3 linked regions of the Notamacropus eugenii genome follow. Each later gene encodes a partner of the first gene's protein in a complex. Links are inferred from orthologs where the notes say so. Each region holds a gene or a part of one and is shown on either strand. Other genes may lie near its edges. The genes, in order: TREX1, nucleoside diphosphate kinase A and ANP32A.

Region 1 (3,421 bases):
TTCCTGCCTTCTGACCTGTTCTTCCCATTCAGGCTCAGAGTGCTGCGCAAATCTCATGATACGTACACATTAAACACAAGAAGTCCATCCCCCCACAAAGACACTTGGTGCCCCCCTATTTGTGCTGTAGAGCATCTCCAGACCAAGTTGAGGTTTCTACTTGTATCAAAAGTAATGCACTACATCCTCCCCATGTAGCCTGTCTCCACTTTGCCCTTCCCTGGATAGAAAGAACATGCCAGGGCCCAAGAAAAGTTGATGGTCCAGCAAGACACCTGTGTACTCTATGAGTAGGTCACACCTTCCTCCTGTCTTCACCACAACCATTCCCCCACCCCACATGTAAATGCACTGCCCATTAGAAGTCCAGTGAGCTTTGGGAAACAACTATAATTCCTAAGTGGGTCCCACCTTGATTTCCTGGAATTCCCAAGGAAGCCCGCTCTAGACTGGATGCCAGTTCTCTGGTGCCCTGGGCAGATGCTGGGAACGCTGCCAGTCATCACGGTCAGGCACTGCACCAATCTTCATTCCCCAACAGAGCAACGCTGTGCCAGAGACATTCCTGGGAGATAGGGCTCGTGCCGGGTTGGGGCAGGTCCCAGGGCCCAGAAGGACCTTATTCTGCCAAGCTCTGGGCCCTCGGTCTCCAGACGGGTCCTGCCATCCCAGAGCCCCGGAAGCCTGGCTGGGAAGAGCCGCTCTCCCGGTGCCCGCCGGCTGATAGACAGGCTCTCCTCCAGGTTGGGAGGGGCTGGGGGCGGGTCCGCGCCCCGTTGTGGGTGCTGGGGGGCGGAGCATGGGCGGGGCTCGGCCCCAGCTGGAGGGTGCGCTTTCGTTTCCCCCAAGCCGATCCTGGCGAACTAGAACTTCCCCGAAGTCCCAGCCTGCCCGTGGTGCCCAGTCCTCTCCTCCGATCCGGCCGGTGAGTAGATCACGGGCCCCGCAGGTACATCCCGGGGAGGGGAGCCCGGTGAGGCTCCGGGATGGAAACCTGGCCCATGCTGGCGTGGGGAGGAGGAGCCCGGGCGGGGCCGGAGCCAGGGAGGACGCTCGGCGATTCCACTGCAGAGCCGTGCCCTCGGGGAGGGCACGAGGTGCCCCAGAAGGCCCTTCCAGCCCTAGAGCCCCCGGGATCCTGGGCTCCCCCGGCCCCAGATCCCTGCCCCCCAAGCTGGGCCCGGCCTGGCTGGCAGCTGAAGCCACGCCCAGCAATCCGGGCCTCGGTCTGAGTCAGCCCCCCACCCCCGCCCTGGCTTGGGGGCCCCCCACCCCGCCCTGGCTCGGGGGCCCCCCCACCCCGCCCTGGCTCGGGGGCCCCACTGCCTCCCTGGGCCCCCTGCCTCGCTGCCCTGGCCCTTACTGGCCCCGCGGCTCTGTCTTCTAGGAGTCCCCCTGAGGTAGATCCCCCCCACGCCCCAGATCCGTGAATTGCGGGCCCCATGTGGCTGGCTCTCCACCTCCACCCCCAGCCCCCACCCCCGGCCCAGGAGCTCCGGAGCCGGCTCTCTCCCTCCGTGTTCCCCACGTCCCCCAAATCCGGGCTTTGCGCTTCCAGCCGCGCAGCTCCTCGCCTCGCCTTCCCAGACCCACGAGGGGCATGCACCTCCATGGCCGCCTCCACCTTTGCTCCCTGCGCCCCACCACCCCGGCTCCGCGCCCCTCGGGCCTCTCCATTCCCCTTCCCCTTCCCTCACTGTCTTCCCAGGTCCATGGGTTTGGAAGCTGCCTCCTCTAGGCCCATGGAGACGCTTGTCTTCATGGACCTAGAAGCTACGGGACTGCCATTCTCTCAGCCCAAGGTCACGGAGCTGTGCCTGGTGGCCGTCCACAGACACGCCTTAGAGGGGCCCCCAGCTGCACCTCCCGCAGGGGGCTCTTCCCAGGTGCCACAGCCACCCCGGGTGGCCGACAAGCTCTGCGTGTGCGTGGCACCGGGAAAGGCTTGTAGCTCCGCAGCCAGCCACCTCACCGGCCTGAACACGGCCATGCTGACTGCCCACCGAAGGCGAGGCTTCGACTCCGGCCTCGTTGACCTGGTCCAGGCCTTCCTTCAGCGACAGCCACCCCCTGTGTGCCTTGTGGCCCACAACGGAGACCGCTTTGACTTCCCCCTGCTGCAAGCTGAGCTGAGCTGGGCCCGGCGCGATGCCCTGAGGGGTGTCTTCTGCGTGGACAGCATTGCCGCCCTGAGAGCCCTGGACCGCTCTGGGCCATCCCGTGAGTCCAGCCAAAGGAAGAGTTACAGTTTGGGTAACGTGTACAGCCGCCTGTACGGCCAGGCCCCACCGGACACCCACACAGCTGAGGGTGACGTCCTTGCCCTGGTCAGCATCTGCCAGGCCAGGCCCCAGCCACTGCTGCACTGGATTGACACGCATGCCAGACCTTTCAGCAGCGTCAAACCCATGTACGAAGCCGGAGCTGGGACGGACCAGGGAGCTGCCTGTGATACAGAGACAAAGACTGAACGCCAGAAGGTTCGAGCGGCCACCAAGCTGGCCACATCAGGGGATACCAGCCCAGCTGGCAGGAAGAGGAGACCTAGATCAGAGGCTCCCTCCCGCTCGGGGAGTATCCCTGCGACCTCATGTTTGAACACATTCCATCTGCTGGCAACGTTAGTCCCCCTGGTTGTCTTAACCTTGGCAGTAGCTCTGTACTGGGTACCCTGGTCATTCTAACCATGTCATTCACATTGTCCTGGGTACCCCTTGATCTCATCCAGACTTTGGGTGGGGGATGTGCTGTTATTGTCAGGTCCTCCAAAGGAAAGGCTGATGGATATGTTGTAAGACAAACTTATAAATAAAGATTACACTTGGCCTGGACGGTAGGAACCCAAGGGGCCTCATCCAGCAGCTTGTCTGGCCTGTCTTTGTGGTAGCCCACCTTCCAAAGTCTATTGGATGGGGATGACCAACTAGACACACCCTTCCGGGCAAGGTGGAATTGGGAGAATTATATTTAGTAAATCTAAAGAGGGAAGTGAGAAGGATCTGGTTACCTCTCAGGCCAGGACCAAAGCCCTCCCACCAGTTGTCCTACACAGGGGCTCAACATGGAGCAAACTCCAAGCTTTATTTAGTTTCAGTCTGAGGGGACACATCTGGCCTCAGAGCCGCCATCTGAAGGCAGAGAGAATTTAGCTTTCAGAGATCTCCTGATCTCTAGGGGGCAAATTACAGGGCCCTCCAAATCTAATCTGACCACAGGTGACAAGTCACAGGGCTAATCTGGAAATCAAGAACCCTCCCTGAGAGAGGCCCCCAATCTAAGCGAACCAACCTAATATCATTCCCAGTGACTGGGACCCAAAAGCTCCTTTAAATCCTGATACCCCACCACCACCTTTGAAGTTACTGAAGAACAGTCATTTTCAAATCCATAGGTTTATTACAAATAGAAGCCTGGCCCAAAC
Region 2 (3,749 bases), on another chromosome or scaffold:
TGTTTATCAAATATTTACTGCTTAAAATGGAACTGTAATAACTATGGGAAAGAAAATAAAAGTAGCAACAAATCATCCCTGCCTTGATTTCTCAGACAAATCTACCTATCCTTTTCCCCTTTCACTCCCTACCTTAAATTATACTCATCTGTAGGCGACAACAGTAGCATACACTGAACCAGAAGGCAATACAAGGTAGTACAAAACAAGTGAGTTTGTGGTGCTCCATTCAAATCCTATGATGATGCCTCATGGTGCAGAGGTGACCCTGGGTGCTACACCTGGGGAAAGCAAGCTGTGACATGACCAACCAAGCTGGAATATCTTTGAGTACAGGTGCTAATTATCTAACTTCCCCTTGGTATCAGTGTAGCTGAGTGTACAACAGCTCTTCACCAAGGAGGCTAGCCAACAGGTGATGAATTTTTCAGCCCCTAAGCCTTGCTATCTGCATGATGGGAGAAGAGGGAGATGGGGGAAACAGATGAAATTACATATCTACCAAATCTAATGATGTAAGAAAAGCCTGTGGTATAGATCCTATTCTATATAACTCTAAGAATTCTCATAAACATTTAGAGATTGAAGACCTCAGAGTTCAAGTTCAAACCATGCATTTTACTGATGTGGAAACCAAGGCCCAAAGAATCAAAGTGACTTGTCCCAAATCACAAAGCAAGCTGGTAGCAGTCAGTTTTGGGACTTGAGTCTCCTTCTTCCCAATCTATCCCTCCTTCCCTTAGAGCAAAAGAAAAGGTTGTCATCTAAAACCCTTTTGACTATATGTATGTATATGTGTATGTGTGTGTATATAGATATATGTATATATATCTATATACACACACATGTATAAAAGAGGGGAAGGACCCATGTGCACAAAATATTTATAGAAGCACTTTTTGGTTGTTGTATAGAACTGTAAACAAACTGGGTGCCCATCAAAAGAGGAATGGCTGAAGAAACTACGGTATAAGGTAATGGAATAGTATTATAGCAAAAGCAATGATAAAAGGAACTGATTCAGAGAAAGCTGGGAATAATTGTAAAAATGACGCAAAATGAAGAGAGCTGCACCAAGAGAACAATGTATCCGATGATAACAACGTTGTAAAGGACAAAAAAGTGTGAATAAGTATACAATGACTAATTATTACTCCAAAAGACTTGGGATAGCACATTCATCCAACCTCTGGGCAGACAATAGCCAGACGTGAGGTGCGGAGTGAGACAAACATTTTCAGACAGTCAATTTATGGTTCCTTTCTGCTCGACCATTACTTATTTTACTTTCCTGGAGTGTAGCAGGGAAAAAAATTAAAAGGGTAGTAACAGTAATACAAAAATGCGGAAGGGGGGGTGTCAGACATTAAAAACACAGAGAAGAGGCAGAAGCAAGTTCAGAATGAAACACAGGCAAGAGAAGCAGTGATGATGGACCTTCTGAGTAAAATTCAATATATATATTTTTTTAAATCATACTTAAAATAGCAAAGGGATCCAACGGAGAAAGCATTGGAACTGGAGCCAGAAAGGCCTGAGCTCCAACGCTGCCTCAGACGCTTAATAGTGTGATCCTGGGCCATGTCACTTAACCTGTGTTCCTCAGTTTCTTCATGTGTAAAATGGGGACTACAGTAGCACCTACTTCCCAGGGTCGCTGTGAGGACAAAATATTTGTACAGCATCTTAAAGAGCCATATAAATACCAGATTTTTAAATAGATTTTGGCAGCGTGTGACCCACAAGCCTTTTTGTGTGCTCTGTATAAGGAAGTGTTCGTGCTTGTCAATTTCACAAGTAAAAGGGACCTTAAAAGAGAGAGGGAAAAAAGGAACCAAGTGTACGCTGACATGGTGACTAGCAAAGAAGGGAAGAAGGATCCCGGGAAGGGGATGCAGGTAGAGGTCCATGGGACCTTGGGCCGGTCACTTCGCCTCCGTACGCCTCAGTTTCTCTATCCGTAAAATGACGATGCTGAGTCAGCTACCCCCCCATCCCATCCAGCTCCAGGCCCACGAACCTACGACCCCAAGGGGAACCCCAACGCCCCAGGTTTAGGGACATCCCCGAGTCCCAGCCCTCTCCGGGGATCAACACTTGGGCTGTGCGGCTCTAATGCGGGGACAGAGCGGAGAGGAACCGGGCTGGGGCTCAGATTGCTCCCCGGGAATCCCCGCCGACAAAAGCTGCCCGAGCCCTTGACTTCCGCGCCCCTGGAGCTCCCCTCACCTGGACCCGCAGTCTGTACCCGCGTCCTGGTTCCACCTGCCCAGAAGCTGTCCCGGCGCCACGTGGTCCTCTGCGAACCGAGCGCGGAACGCTTCCGCTTAAGTCTAGGGATCCCGGGAGCCGATTCTGACGAGCACCGGACGCTTTCCTTTACTCCCCGCCCCCTTAGCGTAGTCTGCGTAGAGAGGATACCATTTCCCGACGCTCTCCTGCGGATGACTACTTCCGGTGTAGTCCGCTTTTTCCTGTTCCGCCCAGATGAGGAGAAGGGTGGGGCGAGTATCGTGGCTTTCTCCCTTCCTGCGGTCTTCCTGGCTCCACCCTACAGGCCCTCCCCTCCTCACCCTGCCAGGGCCCGCACGACGGCGCCATCCCTGGCCCGGAACTCGGCAGTCGCTCTTACAACCGTGCACTTGGTGTCCCGGCCGCACCTTCCGTGCTTCACCCTCCCACTTTCCTGGCCCGTAATGTTCCTCGGCCCCATCCGGGGCCTTCCCCTCCCCCACCCCCACTCCCGCGGCTGCCTGTTCTTTGTCTGCCCGGAGCCGCCTCTGCCTGCTCCTCCTCCACACGCCTTGTGTCTGTGCGCTAGAGAAATAGGTATCTTAGTACGTATTTGTACACGTACCCTCGATGGCCCAAAAGCCTTGTTGCACTTTTAATAGCTGAATTATAAGTAGCGATTACGTCATTCTTTGTATTGAACCTTCCGTAACCAAGAAGGTGCCTGCCATGTTGGTGCAGTGGGGAGAGCACTGGGTTCCAAATCAACGTCAGACCCAAGCTGTATGACCCTGGGCCAGTCACTTAACCCTTCCCTGCGTAGAACTGGAGAAGGAAGTGGGAAACTACTCCAGTATCCTTGCCAAGCAGCCCTCATGGACAGGTGGTCAAGGGGGTTATGAGGAGTGCAACAGGACCCAACAACAACGAAGACATGTTGGTGCTGGATAAGTAGATTGCTGACTGTTCCCCCAAACGTGGGATTCCATCCCTGCTCTTGGTGCCTTTGCACAGGCTGTCTTCTGTGTATCAAATACACATCTCACCTCATCCACGCCTTCCTTTTCGTCAAAGAAACACTCTTGAAATTATTTACTTCTCTGTGTAATTGTATGTGAGTCGATTCAAGCATTTATTATGTGCCTACTGTTTGCCAACTGCTGGGGATGAAAAGACTTAAATGATTAAACTGCCTGTTCCCTAGCTTACTTCCCATCATGGGAAACAAAATGTACACAGAAGAAAATGTAAAATATGTACAAAGTTAAAGAAAAAGCAATTGGAGGAAGAAGGAGTTGGGGAAGAGACACTGACATCCAGGGAAGATTAGGAAAAATCTCCTGTGGTAAAACAAGCTGAGCCTTTATAGAAGCTAGGTATTCCATAAGGCAGAGGCCTCAATGAAAGGCACATATTAGAGATAGAAAATCATATAGAAGATATGGAGAAAAGGGCAGTTTGACTGAATTCCAGAATTTGTGAAAGGGAATAACATCTAATATGCCTGGAATGGTAGG
Region 3 (3,749 bases), about 120 Mb from region 1:
TTCTCCATTAGATTGTGAGCTCCTTTAGAAAATATTTTTTTTTAATGGGGGTGATGGGCAATGGGAAGGAGTCCTATGTATTTTTTGTTGTTTTTGGTATGCCCAATACTTAACACAGTGCTGGCAAAAGTAGGTGTTTAATAAATGCTTGTTGACTTGTTGACCTGATTTAGGCCTAAAGTGGTGGTGGCTCCTCCAGAGATTCTTTAAGTATTGGCACAGATTATCAGTCTTCAGTGGCTTAGGTCATGCCTCCAAAAGGAGTCAATAAGAATTGATCCGTGGATCTTGAAGGCTTACTCAGTAGAAATCCCAGATAGCTACCAGCTAAATTACTGTAGGCATTTCCCCTCACCTGCACCCAAATAAGACCATCAGAGATGAAAAAGAAACCTTTCTAAGGAAGGTTAGAAGAGAAGGGGAAAGTCCTGCCTAGGTTAGGTGGCAATTCAACAATCATTTATTAAGGTGCTATACAGGCAATTTACATAAGAAATTTACATAAAAAACACAACCCCTTGAGAGCAGGGACTGTTTCACTTTTGTCTTTGTATGCCCTCTGCCTACCCACAGCAGGCACTTACTACGTGCTTACTGATTGAATTTGTCAGAATACATACTTTTTCCTACCCCATATACGCTATGCTCAAATCTTCATTAAAAAGGTATTGCCCAAGAGCTATTCCTAGGCTTTTTCTGGATGCCAAACCCCACAGAGCTTTTATTCTGAAGTATCAATGCACCTGTACTGTAGTGGGAGAATGAAGAAGTACTGGAAGGAGACTGAAGTCAGTGACTGCTTCTGCTTTGAAGAATCTGGATCAGTTAGCCACTTAATTGAAAGTACTGTTACATCCAGAAAATCATAAACTTAACCAAACTCATTTCCCTCAAAAATATACAAGAGGGCTTCTCCCAATGCAAGTTAACTAGTAATATTTTCCTGGGTTTTTTTTTCCACTAAATTTCAGACCTTCAGGATATATGTATATATAGAGAGAATCTTGTCACCTTTCCCCTATAAATACCATCTATTCCTTTCATCACTATAAAAATAAAACAAATAAGTGTGTCTATGTTTATAGAGTCAATCTCCAATTGTCTATGGCAATATTTCATATCTGCTTTGTTCCCAACCCACCCTTCAAAACTTCCAATGATCTTAAGAATCCTGGGTCCCAAAGCTTCTAAATATTCCGGGAATATAATCATCAGCCCAGATGAAATATAACTAGGTAACTAAGATTGCTATAAAACCATCCTATGATGTATTCTACAGCCTAATAATAGTTTTCTTTCATTATTGCAAAAGGGGACTCCTCTCATTTGATGTCAATAGGAGAACTGCATAGCCCTAGATTTATGTGTTCCCAAGAAAGCTCATTCACTCACAACCAAAGGATCTGGCAACAGGTAGTTGCAACTCAGATATTTTAACCTGTAAGATGTTTGGCTAGTCAAGCCTCACAGAAGAGCCTTCCTTCCAAAAAGAATGCTGCCGTTTGAAAAGTGCCTCAACTCAAGAGCAGTCAACACTAATTTTGCTCTGTGAAAATAAACAAGAGGAAGACCTATTAATATAAGGATTTTGTCTGCTTTTAAAAAATATCCTATTTCCTTTTAGTTTAAGAGAAATATTCATAACCTTAATCTCCTCCAAAGCAAAAGGAGGGGCGGAGGGAGGGAGGACTCCAGGACTTTCACTAAACGCTGACAGCCAGCGGAGGCGCTGTTATAACATACTAGAAACAGAAAGAACGCGACCTACCTTCCCGGAGAGCCCAGCCCAGGAAGGCGTTTTCCCAACTCATCAATAATTCGTTCCCTCCCGTAGGAAGCGGCTGCTGCTGCTGCTGCTGCGGGCATCAGAGATCAAAAGTCTTGTGCATTTCACGTCTCCCCCCACCCCACCCCACCCCCCAAAAAAGAAAGAAAAAGATCGTGTTTGCCCCACCTTTGGTCAATTCCAGTGAAATAATAATGTCAGGTTTTGTTTTTTTCTAAAGAAGCAATATTAATGTAAAAGTTAACTCCGAGGTTCAGGGTGAGAAAAATATAGGAGGAGAGCAAAATATTGGGGTAGGGAAAGGACCTCGGAAGGAAGAGAACCTGATTCGGTGTGGCCGTCTACACAGAAAATTCAATCCTTTCAATGTTACTACTCCAAAGAACATGGACAACAACAACGTTCCATTTAAAGACACAGGACATTCCATTTAAAGATACCGGGCGATTCCAAGGGAGCGGGAGACGTCCCTGCGGAGAAACCACGAAATATGGGCTCCTCCTTCACCCTCTCCGGCCCCAAAAAGACCAGGCAGAGGCAGCCAAGCTCTTGATCGGTCACTCTACTATCAGCCAGTTCGTTTGGAAACTAGTCCTGTGGTGCGCTTTCGGAGATGGCGCAAGACTTAGCATTTTCCCTTTATTTTCTCCCCAGTGACAACAGCCACAGTGACAAAATGGCAGCTCTCTGCGCTGGCAGTCATGTTACACACACACGCAGAGCGCAGTGAAAGCGCCCCTAGAGCCTTCGCTGCAATTCCGGAGCAACCTTCTCCCACCTCCCCCCAATAACCAGAAAGTATACCTCTCTTCTTAACCTCAGAGCGGGGGAGGAGAGGGGTGCGAGCCGTTCGAACCCCCCGGGCTCCCGAGCTGCCCCGGAGAAAGGATATTGACTATTTTTAAAGGCTGGCAACCATCTCGCTCCGCCACCCACCCTAAGACACATACGCACACCCTTGTCCCACATCTCCCGCCCCGAATATCGCCCAAATCCTCATGGAGACAGTCGCCTTCATTTCAAACCCAGCATTTTTCTTTTGCAGCTCGATGGGGGAGGGGGGGGCGGGACGGGAGAAACCCAGGAAAAAATGGCTGCTCGTCCTATTTCAGCTTCAACGCGGTGTTGCCAGCCCCCGGGACAAAGTTGAGAAAGGATTTGGAGGTGTGTACGGGGGGCTAGGGGAAGGGGAGGTTTGGGGGGGCGCTGGGGGCGCTCTCTCGAATCCTTTCGGAAAGAAAACAAAAATACACGCACCCAATTCTCTCCTCTCCTTCCCAACCCCCTTTGTCTCTTATTACCCTGTTTTCTTAGCAAACAACAAGCAAACTGCCCCCCTCCTCCCCCACTAATGCCCAACCACTCCCCACTGGAGTGAAGCGGGGATCTGGGGAAAAAAGGATACGAAGGGTACGGGGTGGGGGGAGGGAGGACGCGTGTGAAATATCGTTTAGTATGCGCGTCGTATTCCCCTCCCCCCTCAACATAAGACACGAAGACTTTGTGAAGTTTAAAGAGCGGGTTCTATTCGCTCCCCAATCTCTCTTCCATTTGGTTAAGCATGTTTTTAGAACCCACTCCTTGATCCACATCATCGCCCAACGCTGTCCTCGGCCCCTCCCCCCCACCAGGGAACGTAGCTCTAGGTCTTATCTGTGGCTGGGTGGGGGTCGTTAAAGTAGGTGGCCAGACCAGTCTCCGTGTAGACTACACGCGGCACCCCCCTTCCCCCATGCCCTAACCCTTAGAGCAGTTATCCAAAGATGTGATGTGAAAACATAACCAAAATATTTATGGTAATTCTCCCTTTCGATGAGCAGCCCCCCTCGTCTAACAAACCATAAAACACGCAAATAGAGTGTACACAACTGCGTTATGACAGCATGGGCACAAAACAAATCTTGGATTCAAAAGTCAAACCGAGGTTTGGAGGAGAAATTACGGGAGGAGAAGTGGAGGAAGG

Evidence for each region.
Region 2: TREX1 (region 1) and nucleoside diphosphate kinase A share a complex: the UniProt entries of both Homo sapiens proteins name them as parts of the SET complex. The link is inferred for Notamacropus eugenii from reciprocal best matches to the Homo sapiens genes TREX1 and NME1.
Region 3: TREX1 (region 1) and ANP32A share a complex: the UniProt entries of both Homo sapiens proteins name them as parts of the SET complex. The link is inferred for Notamacropus eugenii from reciprocal best matches to the Homo sapiens genes TREX1 and ANP32A.

Annotation. Positions count from the first base shown.
Region 1 is NC_092872.1:14,519,134-14,522,554, reverse strand, and holds TREX1 (three-prime repair exonuclease 1), read left to right. Parts: upstream 1-805; 5' UTR 806-925; intron 926-1,708; 5' UTR 1,709-1,712; coding exon 1,713-2,684; 3' UTR 2,685-2,858; downstream 2,859-3,421. UniProt on the Homo sapiens protein: Major cellular 3'-to-5' DNA exonuclease which digests single-stranded DNA (ssDNA) and double-stranded DNA (dsDNA) with mismatched 3' termini. Prevents cell-intrinsic initiation of autoimmunity.
Region 2 is NC_092873.1:361,375,328-361,379,076, reverse strand, and holds the start of nucleoside diphosphate kinase A, read right to left. Parts: upstream 2,458-3,749; 5' UTR 2,230-2,457; intron 1-2,229. UniProt on the Homo sapiens protein: Major role in the synthesis of nucleoside triphosphates other than ATP. The ATP gamma phosphate is transferred to the NDP beta phosphate via a ping-pong mechanism, using a phosphorylated active-site intermediate.
Region 3 is NC_092872.1:132,030,524-132,034,272, forward strand, and holds the start of ANP32A (acidic leucine-rich nuclear phosphoprotein 32 family member A), read right to left. Parts: upstream 2,771-3,749; 5' UTR 2,756-2,770; coding exon 2,591-2,755; intron 1-2,590. UniProt on the Homo sapiens protein: Multifunctional protein that is involved in the regulation of many processes including tumor suppression, apoptosis, cell cycle progression or transcription. Promotes apoptosis by favouring the activation of caspase-9/CASP9 and allowing apoptosome formation.